Mus musculus: one gene and its partners. The protein of the gene in region 2 interacts with the protein of the main gene of each other region in a pairwise test. Links are inferred from orthologs where the notes say so. Each region holds a gene or a part of one and is shown on either strand. Other genes may lie near its edges.

Region 1 (4,302 bases), on a different chromosome or scaffold from region 2:
CAGAGATTCAGAACGGAGAGTAAGGATCTGAGATCACTCTCCATCTCCCTACAAGGTCAGGGGCTGGGCTCTTCCTGGGGCCATGTCCAGCTTTGTCTCCAACCTATATCTATGTGTTTATTTAATCAATTTATTTATTTAAATGGGATCTTGGTGTGTAATCCTGGGACATGTGGTAATTGCTATGTAAATCCAGGCTGGCCCAGAACTCAAAGCAATCCTCCTGCCTCAGCCACAATTATGGGCGTGAGCCACCACACCTGGTTGTAACCCATATCTAATCTTGAATGATTCACCAAGTCCTCCACCCTCACCTCCCTCCTTGGTCCAACCTGAAAAGAGGAGAGAAATATTGTATTATTCTACTTTTGACAGTGGTTTGACCATCCTTGGCACTTGGAAAGTACCTTCACTCTGGTGGCTCAGCAGTCTTTGGGAAGACCTAGCCCCAAATTCTAGAAACAGGCTGGTCTGCAAAACATGGCCTGTCATAAATCGCTGGGCTTTACAACAGGCCAGAAGAACAAAACACAATAAAGGTAGCCAGCCCGTCCTAGAATCAGAGCTACGAATTTAAATCCTGACTTTGCCATCTATCAACTTACCTGGACTTTACAAGTTCATGGGGAGACTATAGACTCTGTCCAGACAAGTCTGGGTTCAAATTCTGGGTCTACCGCTATTCTATAGCCTCTCTGTGTCCCAGTTTTTTCATCTACAGAATGGACACTGTAACAGTGCTCATCTAACAGTGTTGGTGGGGAAAAGGAAAAATAACTTCAAACTTTGTGCACCAAGCCCAGCACAGGGTGCATCCTTAATCATGGGGGACCGGGGTCGTGGTGCTACCTTCCCAAACTATGCCAGCCAGTTCATCTCTGCTAGTGTCTGTTTCCTCGTATAATAGAGACAATAACCTCTGACTTATGGTGAGCCCTAATGAGGACAGGAATGTTCAAGTCCTCAGTGCCCAGGCTGTACAGCTTAGGAAGTCAAATGTCAAGTCCTGGGCCCAATGAAGGAGGAAGGCCTAGAAGGCAGGCAGGTGGCTCAGACTTCGGCTACTACCCTTTCCCTGGTGGCCTGGGACACAGGTTTGATTTCTCTATGAGTCAGATGCCTTGGTCACAAACCCAAAAACAGAGTGGAATCCAGGAGAGTTAAGGACCCCAAGAACCTCTCAGCACACAGTAGGTACTCTGTAAACGATTCAGCTGCTTACCCTCTTCCTTTCCCACACCATATGCCACCTGGGAAAGCCAGCATCTCCATTTCTGGAAACCTAAACAGCTCTAAATCCTGGACAATGCTTAAGTCTGAGACTTGGGCTTTTTAAAAGACAGCAAATGACTTTTGTAGTCATCTCTGAAGCAGACGGGGCTCGGAGGCTCACAACCACAGGGACCATTTTAAATCCCGGGCCTTTTCTTCTGGGAAGTTAAGCAAGAACCTTCCCAAATGTTTGCCGTGGGGCCCTCTGCCAGAGAGTGACTCACTCCTCCGCTCCCCACAGGCATATTTTATTTGGGGGTGGGGGATCCAGGGAGAGCCTGGCCCCGGTGGGGGAGGGGAACAGTTTCAACACGTCCAGAAGGTGGGGATATTTTTTCTTCTCCAGTTTTCGGGACAAAGAGGAAAAAAAAAATGAACATGGGTCTTTTTTTGTTTCCTTCCAGGTTTTGTCTTCTGGACGACGATGTCCAAAGTTCACTGGTTAAGTTTCTCCTGTTGGGAGTCAGGCACCCATTCAATGAAATTCTTCTCCCATTAGCAATAGGGTTTTTAACATGCCCTTTTACACACACCAGGCTCCTGTGAGGACATTTTCCCCTCAAAAAGTCACCCTGCATTTTGCAAGTGGAGTGAAACTTTGTACATAAACTTTCTAAAGTTTGCTCTAACGCAGTTAAAACTTTCAAACACACATGCACAAACTGTCAATCAAAACTTCACGGACAGCCCTTAGAGGATGTGTCCCAAGCATGCTGTCACCCATTTGTTATGGCCCTCTGGGGCTCGGTTAAATCAGGGAAATATGATTAACTTAGAGGAGCAGGCAGAGAGGACAAGTATCTGGGGCCCTGGGTCTCCCTAGGGCCTAACCCCTAGGTATGGGGAACAGAGTCCAAATCTGGCCTAGCTAGAGACAGCCACGAACAAAGCCAGGGAACTAAGACATATTTAGAAAACCTCAATTCAAGTTCAGCGCAGCCCCCTCCTCAGCCTGCGTGGCCATGCAGAGTTCTGCCAAGGCCGGGCTAAGAGGCTTCCAACCAAAGTCAGAACCTGGGGATCTGCGGACTCACAGAATCCGGCCCAGCACCCTCTCTGGACAGGGTCAGCCGGCACATCACACACACACCGGCCTGCAGTGTGGAGTGCACAGTCTGGATCCTAAACACACTCTCGTATGGAATTTGTACACTTTTGCCCGTGCACGTGTGCACACACTCACTCGGGAACGTTCAGACACGTGGGCACACGTACTCCTTGGCATCCACGGTAAACACTCGATAAACGGATAAACCGAAGCCGAGCCCGTCCACCCGCACTGGTCCACCCCAAACTCACAGCCCGGGCCCCTGATGTGCACACGCACGCACTCCCGCGCAGCTGGGCGGATGGAGCCCGCCGCGGACACCTCGGCCTCCTGCGGGCGTCCCCGCCGACTCCCCGGGCACGCGCGCGCGCCCACAACGCCTCGGGTGACAGTCCCACGCCCTGGCCCGCGCCCCTCGCTGGTCCCAGGCCACTCACCGGCGCTGGCGGCTCTCTCGGCGGCGGGCGGAGCGCGGGTCACACGCGAGTTGGCGGCGCTGCGGCCGCAGCTAGTCCGCTTGGTTCAGCCGCCGCTTCTGCGCGCGCCCGCGCGCCCGCCCCTCCCCGCCGCGGGGCCGCGCCGCCCCCTGCGCCCGTGCGCGCGGCCGCCACGCAGGCTAGGGGGCGCCGGGGGCGCGCTCCCAGCCTGGGTGCCTGATCGTCCAACTCAGGTTGGAAGACTGAGCCTCAGACTCCAAACCCTGGGCACTGAACCCCTCTGCGCGGGCTCTAGACTTTATAAGATGCAGATTCGCTGGGTAACCAATTCGTGGACCCTTCCCCACACCCATGGATTCCTCATCAGCTGACATTGCTCCTCTCACAGCCCTCGCAGGACCGAAATTGACCCATTCACAGAGTGCAGCAGGAGGTGAAGTTCAGTTGATAGCATGCTTTCCTAATCTCAGCACTAGGGAAATTGGGCACCTGTAATCTCTGAATTAGGAAGGCTGAGGCAAAAATGTCTGAAATTCATTCATTCTTGGCTATATAGCAAATTCCAAGCCAGCCTGGGCTACATGAGATGTTGTCATTCATATTATATATATATATATATATATATATATATATATATATATATATATATATATATATATATATATGTATATATGTATATATGTATATATGTATATATATATATATATATATATATATATATATATCAGTGTGTACAATAGTACAGTGTACAAATAGTGCCCAGTACAGTTCCAGAAGTAGGCACCTAGGATAAATCCAAGTCCCTGCCCTCAAAGTGCCAGTATCTCCTGGGGATACTGCCTTCCTGGGAACTCCAGGCCAGCCAAGCATCAGTGTGCAGAAGGTTTTTAGGAGTAAGTGGGCCAGCCAAATACCCAGGAGCCTGGGGGTGGGGGTGGGGGTGGAGGTGGGGGGAATGACCTGAGTTTGATCCTCCAGACCCACACAATGGAACAAAAGAACTCCAGCAAATTGTCTTTAACCTCCCCATGTCTTCCAAATTCACACCAAGTGTTGTATGTTAAAAACAAAAAACAAAACAACAACAACAACAACTGCCTTCATCTATGCATACTTAACAACCCCACTAGGATGTCCAAGCTTCTCTGGGGAGCAATTAAGGTGACTCCCACTTCCCCTCAGGAAGGGATGCTCGTAGCTGGGACAGGTATTGCTGCTTCTGAGTGTTCTAGACTGTCTGTGTGCCCAAGCACCTGCCATCTGTCCATTAATCTGCTGTACATGTCTGGGCACGGGATAGCAACCTGCTGAGTATTCAGTTAACTAGTCTACTTGAGTCCACAGTAATCAGGCCCACAACCTATATTACTCCCCCTGCCTGCCTCATGATGTTCAGCCATTGTGAGGGTGGCATCATGCCACCCATGTGCCCATTTCTTAGATGGCTTTAATGAGGCCTGTGAGCAAAGTCCCCCAGGTGGTGAGTGGTTGAACTGGAAGCAGATGACACAGATTTCTGGTCTCAGCAGCTTATTGCTAGGCAAC
Region 2 (3,994 bases):
TAACATTTTTTTTTAAATAGAAAACTCCACGAACACTCAGATTTACTTTTTTTTCTTAGAGAAATCTAAGGGTCTTTTAAAGGTTTTGTCATTGGCTGTGAGATGGCTCAGCGGTTAAGAGCACTGACTGCTCTTCCTCAGGTCCTGAGTTCAAATCCCAGCAACCACATGATGGCTCACAACTATCTACAATGGGATCCGATGCCCTCTTCTGGAGTGTCTGAGGACAGCTACAGTGTAGCTACTTACATATAAAAAAATAAAAAATAAAGGCATTATCATCATTATTATTAGTTTGTTTTCTGAGACAGAGGTTTGCTCTGTACCTCAGGCTAGCCCAGAACGACTCCATTCACCTGCCTGTGAGAGCTGGAAGGTTTTGCCTGTATCCCCAAGCCCACTCAAACCCAGCCTAGGTTAGATGGGGACCCGTGCTCAGCTTTAGCTTTTCCTGCGTCTGTGCTGTACACCCCGGAAGCTGCTGACACCCTGGGCTTCGGGGTGATCAGTTTCACACATGAGGAACCCATTAGAAATGAGAAAAGTATTTGTGGTGGGAGTGACCAGGCTGGAGGGTCTGTGGGACCCTACTCCAAAATTGGACAGAAGAAGGTAGGGCTGTGTGACCCTGAGCCGATTACTCACCCTCTCTGGGCACCCACTCTAGCCTGTGTTAAACATAGGGACTGGGCCTCTAGAACCATGAACGCTGTATGCCTTACTTTCTTCTTCCACACCATGGGGCTGATTGTTTTTGGACACATGGCCTCATGTAGCCCAGGCTGGCCAACTTGCTAAGTAGCTGAGGATGACCTTGAACTGCTGACCCTCTTGGCCCCACCTCCTGAGCCCTGAGATGACAGAGGCACCCCCCACCCGGCCTTCCTTCAAGCCACAGACAACTCTACAGACACATGGAGGTGCCCTGGTCCGGGCTCACCTGTGATACTGCGCTTGCAGCAGCTGGAACTCATCTTTGATGCGGTCACAGGAGTCGGAGGTGGTGAACTTGAGCTGCTGAGGGAGGTGGGAGGAGCCCTGCGGGGGCAGGAGGGTGAGCGGCGTCCTGCCCCGCCCATGCCCCACTTCCTGGGCTGCCAGGAAGGGGCTGTGAGGCCCCTAGGCAGTGGGGACACTTTTACACACTGGTCATTTGGGAGGGGCGGGCACCCATGGGGCGGGGTGCACCTCTGTCCTCCAGATGCTCCCAGAGGAATTCCCCAGAAAGCCCCTCTAAGTCAATCAGGGTGGCACAGGCCTCCCTTCAAAGCCGGCATGGAAGAGGCACCTAACTTACCACCCTACATTTCCTGGGAGTACCCCCATCACACCTGTTTCCTCACGGGTGTGCTCTTCAGGAAGGGACCCCCCCAAAGCTGCCCAGGCCCCAGCCAAAGCCACAGAGAAATCATGGCCTGGGAGTTAGGGAGAGCTGGAAGCTGGGGGGCTGGGGAGCGAGGGGGGTGGGATATGTACAGGGCCGGCATCTGAGGGCACTGGGTCAGGAGTTAGGGTGTAAGATCTCGGATCTGGGGAGCAAGGCTAGGGGCAGGGTGTGGGGAGCAAGGCCACTGGGAGCTGGTGTGGGAGACGACAGATGGGCTTGGACATGAGAGGGACGGAGCCTAGTGCTGGGGGGGCGGGGGGTGGGAAGACTGCGGGGTATCCGGCTCCGGACAAGGGAGCACTGGACATTATACGGGCACAGGGTCTCCCCAACCCTAGTGCTGAGGGTGCAGGATGGGGGCTGGGAGGAGGAAGGCCGCTGGGGTGCGGGGCCTGCAGCTGGAGGAGGGACGCGGAGCCAGGCTGGGGGTGGCGCTGGGCCCGGATGGTGACGCCAGGCCCGACAGGGCTGGAGAGAGAGACAGGGGGTGCGGGAACTGTATTGGGGGGTAGAGGGCACCAGACTTGGGGCCAGGGCAGATCTGAGGTGGAAAGAAGTGCAGGGCCGAGGTGATGGTGGGTGCAGGGCCTTGGACTTGGTGGCAGGCCAGTCTGAAGCTCTTAGAGAGCTGGGCCTGGGGGGGGGGGGGTGCACCGAGGTGGGGATGCAAGATCTAGGGCTGGAGGACATGCGCGTCTGGGGTGAGGGGATGATGGGCTTGTGACTGGGGTGCTGCAGCTCTGGGCCTGAGCCCCAGGTCAGGAAGACAGGCCGAATGCGGCTGCAGTGGGGTGCGGGCTGATCCGGAGCCCGGGGGTGGGGGGTGGGGGTGGAAGAAGACCTTGGAGTCGGGTTGGGCGAGGTGTGGGGGAGGCGGTGAGGGGACTCAGGGCAGGGATCAAAGTTCAGGGATCCGGGCTGAAGGATGCAGTGCTGGACTGGTGGGGTGCGTAGGGTCTGGGTTGTGGGGTGCAAGGACCTTGGGGAAGAGCCCAGGGCTGGGGGGACAGAACAGGCCTGTGGGAGCTGGGGAAGCGTAGGGAGCCCCTGGGACAGGCCCTGGGCGGGGAGAGAGACGGGATCCGACCTAGAAGGGGTGCAGTGAGATGAGCTGGGGTGCAGGGTGAGCGCCGGAGGTGCAGTGAGCTGAGCTGGGGGTGCAGGGAGAGCTCTGGGGTGCAGTGCGCGGGGTTCCCCTTACCGAGTGCCGGCTTTGCGGAAACATCATGTCAGTCGCGGGGGGCGCGGGCTGCGCCCCGGCTCGGGCGGCTCGGGGGGCGCCGGGCGGCCGCGCTTTGTCCCCGATCGACAGCTCCGGGGCCCCGCGTCCCGCCTCCTGCGCCGCCCGCCGCCCGCCCGCGCCGCCCGCGCTATTGTGTAATGGCGACGCGGTGCCGCCCGGGCTCCCGCTCCACCTGCCGCGCCCGGCACTGCGCAGGCCCGGACGCCCCACCCGTGACCTTGGCCCCGCGCGCCCCGCCCCCGCCACGGCCCGGAACCCCAGCTGGAGGCCTGCCTCAGTGCCCCCCGCCCCCAGTCCCAAGGCCACAGACTCGCAGCCTGGACACCCAGGCTTCACGGTGGATTTATGGAGTGCCTACAGTGTGCTATGTCCTCTTTGGAGTCGGGAGGGTTGGCACGGCTGGGGGCCACACTGGGCAGTAGAGTGACACCTGTCCCACAGAGGTAGGATGGGGGCCCAGTCCTGTAATCTAATGACTGGGGTGCAGAGGCAAGAGGATCAAGAGTTCTCGGCCAGCCTGGGTTACCAGAGAGCCTGTCTTAAAACAACAAAAAGTAAGACATGGTTTGTTCTGGGGTACAAGACCTATTACCAGTGCTGGGTAGGTTGAGGTAGGTGGAAGCCAGCCTGATCTACACAGTGAATACAGCCTGGGCTATAGGAGCCCTTATCTCAAAACATGAAAAAGTTAAATCGGGCCACAGGAGGTGGTGGTGGCCGACACCTTTAATCCAAGCACTCAGGGCAGAGGCAGGTGGATCTCTGATTTGAGACCAGCCTGGTCTACATAGAGACTTCTGGGACAACCAGGGCTACAAAGAGAGACCTGTCTCATAAATAAAAGGTAAGAGTTCCCCAGGTCCTAGTGTGATCCCAACACTTGGGAAGCTGAGGCAGGAGGATTATCGAAAATTCAGCATCAACCTGTGACCCAGCTTACTGAGGTGAGACCTGTCCAAAAACAAAACAAAACAAAACAAAAACAAATGATTAAAACAAATATGCTGGTGTGGTAACACAAGCCTTTAATCTAAGCCCTTGGGAGGCAGAGGCAGGCAGATCTCTGTAAATTCAAGCCCACCTTGTGAGTTCCAGGGCAGCCAGGGCTCCATGAGCCCTGTCTTAAAAAATAATAAAAAATAAATAGGAGCCGGGCGTGGTGGCACACGCCTTTAATCCCAGCACTCGGGAGGCAGAGGCAGGTGGATCTCTGAGTTCGAGGCCAGCCTGGTCTACAAAGTGAGTTCCAGGACAGCCAGGGCTATACAGAGAAACCCTGTCTCGAAAAACTAAAAAAAATAATAATAATAATAATAATAATAAAATAAATAAAATAGTTCTTTGGGCCAATACTATTTACCCCA
Region 3 (4,095 bases), about 5.6 Mb from region 2:
CAAGAGTCAAGAGGCCAAAGGAAGGTTGTGGTTAGCTTTCTAAAACCTAAACCATGCCGTGCCAATGACCTCAAAACACAAGATTTCCAGTGTAAGCATCTCAGATGCTTAAGAAAAGTAAAACCAGCCAAGAAGGCGCGCTCAGTGCAAGACCATGTGCTTAGCGTGTACAAGGCTCTAGGTTCCCCAGCATGAGAAATGAGAACTGAGGAAGACAGAGAAAGAGGGCAAGGGTCAGGAGGCAGAGCAAGCTGTCACTACACCTCCCGAGGCTCTTCCCACCTGACCAGGAGCTGTCTTTCAGTCTCTCCACCACATGAGAATTTTCTTTTCAAAACTAGGGCTGAGGCCAGATTTACCCCTTCACTGGTCAGTTCAGGTAAATAAACATCTTTGAAGAAACTCTTCTGCATAGACTATTTAAAGTCCTTAACTGCCATACGCACCACACCTTGCACTTGAGCAAATGCCTAGTGGCCAACAAGGACCCTTCTGAGCTGTGAGAGATGTCCCCAGCACAGCCACTGTGGAACAGAGGCACAGAGGTGACAGTGTGATCAGTCTTGGCGGCTTGAGTTTTTTGTTTAATGGAAGATGGTGAAAACGGAAACTCTAAGTCTGGATGTTTCTGACAACATTGGTCTCACAACCTGATTCAACCGACACACTAATAAAATGGAGTGTATGTCACTGAATAGCTGCCAGAGGTAACGGCTGGCAGTCTGAAATGCCATTAGCTCTCCAGGGTGGGCACTTACCTCTTTACACATGTTACATGTCTACTGGATGACATTCACACATCTGAATTTTATCTTTTTGTTATTATTATTCCTTTCAAGACAAGATCTCACTACGTAGGCCAGGCTGGACTCAAAATCACCCTCTACTTCTGCCTCCTGAGTGTTCAGATTAAAGGTGCAGCCCAGTGCACTTAATAAACAAACAAACAAAAAAAGAGTAAGAAAGAAAGAAAAAAAAATAAGCCACATAAACTGGGTGTAGTGACACCAAGTGCTTTGATCCTGGCACTCAGAGGCAGGAGGATTTCTGTGAGTTCAAGTGCCAGGTCTACAAAGTGGAGCTACAAGGCAGCCAGTTACACGATGAGATCTTGTCTCAAAAAGAAGGGGGGATGGGGCTGGTGAGATGGCTCACCAGTTAAAAGCACTGACTGCTTTTCTGAAGGTCCCGAGTTCAATTCCCAGCAACCACGTGGTGGCTCACAACCACCTGTAATGAGATTTGATGCTCTCTTCTGGGGTGTCTGAAGACCGCTACAGTGTACTCATAGACATAAAATAAATAAATAAATAAATAAATCGAAAAGAAAAGAAAAGAAAAGAAAAGGAAGGAAGAAAGAAAGAGAGGAGGGGAGGAGAGACATAAACTGGTTGGGGGTTGCCCTTAGATGGAATGAAGTTAGTTTGAGATAGACAATCTGCACCAAAAAAAAAAAAAAAAAAAAAAAAGGTAGAAAGAAAGAAATTTCAGCTGAGCAGTGGTGGCACACGCCTTTAATCCCAGCACTCAGGAGGCAGAGGCAGGCACATTTCTGCCAGCCTGGTCTACAGAGTGAGTTCCAGGACAGCCAGGGCTACACAGAGAAACTGTCTCGAAGAAGAAAAAGAAAAGAAAAACAAAAAAAACAAAAAAACACAAAGATTTGGCTGGTCTCTAGGGTTAATTGAAGGGATTTTCTAAGGTTGTGGTTCTCAACCTTCCTAATGCTGTGACCCTTTAATACAGTTTCTCATGTTGTAATGACCCCCTCCACCATAAACTTTTTTCGTTGCTACTTCATAACTCTAATTTTTGCTACAGTTACGAATCATAATGTAAATACCTAATATGCAGGATCTTTGATATGCGACCCCTGTGAAAAGGGTAGTGGCTGGCGCACAGGTGCGATCCTAAGGAACCCTGTCCACCTGACTGCACAGAAGCTGTCTCTTCTAGCTCTGGGTTCTGGGTTAGCGACCCTTCAGATTTATCCCCTATAAAAACTCAAAATTAGTTCACTGATCTCCAAAACGTTAGTGCTTCCGACCTCAGGGCCTCAATCCACTCAAAAGCAAACATGTCCAATCACTTTCTAAACATCATAAAAGCTCTCTGCAGTCCACCTCGCAAGCAACAACACAAAGGGGAAGAGGCTTTCCTAAGCTTCGGGCTTACAAGTAGAGATTTCGAGACCGGGGCAGTGGGGTGCACGAGAGCTGCCAAAGGGTTCAAGGGCAGTGTTGCACCTCCACTTCCAAGCGCCCAGGGGCTTCCCGAACATCCTTTCCCCATCTGCCTAGAGTGTACCGGCTCGACGCTCTAAGCTAGGACAGATGCTTAGGGTCTGAACAACGTTAAGTGGGTAAAGAAAACCCAGGACGGTCCAGGCGGGACCGGCCACGCCCACCAGGCCACGCCCCAGCTGCGAGCACGCGCCCGCCTCCGCGATGAATGGAGGCGCGCTCTCGGGGAGCACTAGCCCGCCCCGGGACTCGAGCCGGCCAGCCGCTGCCCGGGAAGCCGAGAACGCGCCGCGGGCTACCTCGGAGCCGATCATGTAGAACTCCCCGTCGTCCTCCAGCTGAAACTTGACGGGCTTCTGCCCGAAGGTCTTGCTCAACGCCATCATCATCATGGCGGCGGGGGAAACCGGCAGCCGGGGTCGAGCTGGAAAGAATCCGGTGGGCTAGGGCGGGGCCGAGGCGCGTCGGACCGAAAGGAACGGAGGCCTGGAGGTGAAGGTCGGGCAGGGCAAGCCGGGCGAACCGGGCGAGCGCTCGTGTCACTACTGGGCTCCTTGGCCGTCTCTGCAACGAGCAGGCCGCCCTCGGTGCGCATGCGTGGAGAAGCTGACGCTAACGTGCGCGCCGCAGCCTGCGCGACTCAAGGCCGAGCGCGTTCCCGCAAGCCCTTAAAGGGACCCGAGTTCTTTTTTGCTTCCTAGGCTTCCTCCCTGGGCGGGTAAGGAGGAAAACCTCTCAGCGACCGAAATAGCCACTGAGGCCCTGACTCAGGCGGTAGCTTTCCTAGTCGCATAGCCAGAGCTGGCACTCCGCCCCGGGATGAAGGAAAAAAATGAGACGTTAAGCGAGGAGAAGGACCGCTCTATCTGGAAGCCCGAGGGAAGCTGGGTGGGCATGGCGACCCCACGCTAGCGCCTCAGGTTTTCCACCCGAAAGTGCGTTAGGAATAGCTAGCTATCCACTCCAGGCCAACAGCAGTTCCCGAGGCAGTAGGGATGGGAAGAATGACAATACTGGATGGAGGTTGGTACTATTCAAAGATCTAGGTGATGTGCCAGATGAACGGGAGGAGGCACTTGCATTCCTTCCTTACCTCTGCAAGCTTGGTGCCCACAAGCCCAGCCCTGGTCTGTGCCTCTGCCCGCCTTGGGGCATAACAGCCCCGAGAGAAGACAGTGCTTCTGGAACGTGTCCAAGCAGTCCACCCCCTGTTGAACAGAGCCGTGACTCCAAAATGTTTAATGTTTATTGTAGCACTATTACAGGAGCTTAAGTTATAGCCTAGCCTAGGTAGCTATTCAACAATAGAGGAATGGATGAAGAAAATGTAGTCTAGGCTGGGTGTGGTGGTGCAAGCTTTTAGCTTCAGTTCCAAGACAGTCAGGGATATGTTGAGCAACTCTGTCCCAGAAAACAAAAAAGAGTGTGAAATGTGTGTACATGTGTTTTTTGTTTTTCAGCCACAAAAGTGAAATTACATTGTTTTCAGGAAAATGGATGCAACTAAGATATCATATTAAACAAATCAGGCCAGTCTCAGAAAGACAAATACGTTTTCTCTCATTTGTGCTTTCTAGATTTTCCTTAGATACATAAAATATGTATTCCACAGAACATTAAAGTAAAAGTGACATTGTGTATGGGAGCAAAGGGACTAACAACCTAGTGTAGGGGAGGTGGGGGCATGGTGGGATGTGCAAAATACAAACACTTCTCTGAAAGCAGCAGGACAAACAGTGGCCAGCTTCATAAGGGTCAGTCTAATGAGACTGCAATTGTGACTGGGGTCATGATGAAGGAGATGTTAAAGAACTAGGAAAGGCTGTGGTAACCAGGAGTTTGCCCACTGATC

Evidence for each region. The genes of interacting proteins can lie anywhere in the genome.
Region 1: the proteins of Tle5 (region 2) and Nek6 interact in binary tests that used the Homo sapiens proteins (3 or more experiments, as listed by UniProt). The two-hybrid records come from large-scale screens. The link is inferred for Mus musculus from reciprocal best matches to the Homo sapiens genes TLE5 and NEK6.
Region 3: the proteins of Tle5 (region 2) and Smarcb1 interact in binary tests that used the Homo sapiens proteins (3 or more experiments, as listed by UniProt). The link is inferred for Mus musculus from reciprocal best matches to the Homo sapiens genes TLE5 and SMARCB1.

What each region holds. Positions count from the first base shown.
Region 1 is NC_000068.7:38,510,249-38,514,550, reverse strand, and holds the start of Nek6 (serine/threonine-protein kinase Nek6), read right to left. Parts: upstream 2,855-4,302; 5' UTR 2,758-2,854; intron 2,676-2,757; exon of another isoform or gene 2,572-2,675; intron 1-2,571. UniProt on the Homo sapiens protein: Protein kinase which plays an important role in mitotic cell cycle progression. Required for chromosome segregation at metaphase-anaphase transition, robust mitotic spindle formation and cytokinesis.
Region 2 is NC_000076.6:81,558,263-81,562,256, reverse strand, and holds the start of Tle5 (TLE family member 5), read right to left. Parts: upstream 2,814-3,994; 5' UTR 2,616-2,813; coding exon 2,589-2,615; intron 1,039-2,588; coding exon 941-1,038; intron 1-940. UniProt on the Homo sapiens protein: Transcriptional corepressor. Acts as a dominant repressor towards other family members. Inhibits NF-kappa-B-regulated gene expression. May be required for the initiation and maintenance of the differentiated state.
Region 3 is NC_000076.6:75,918,761-75,922,855, forward strand, and holds the start of Smarcb1 (SWI/SNF-related matrix-associated actin-dependent regulator of chromatin subfamily B member 1), read right to left. Parts: upstream 2,855-4,095; 5' UTR 2,636-2,854; coding exon 2,543-2,635; intron 1-2,542.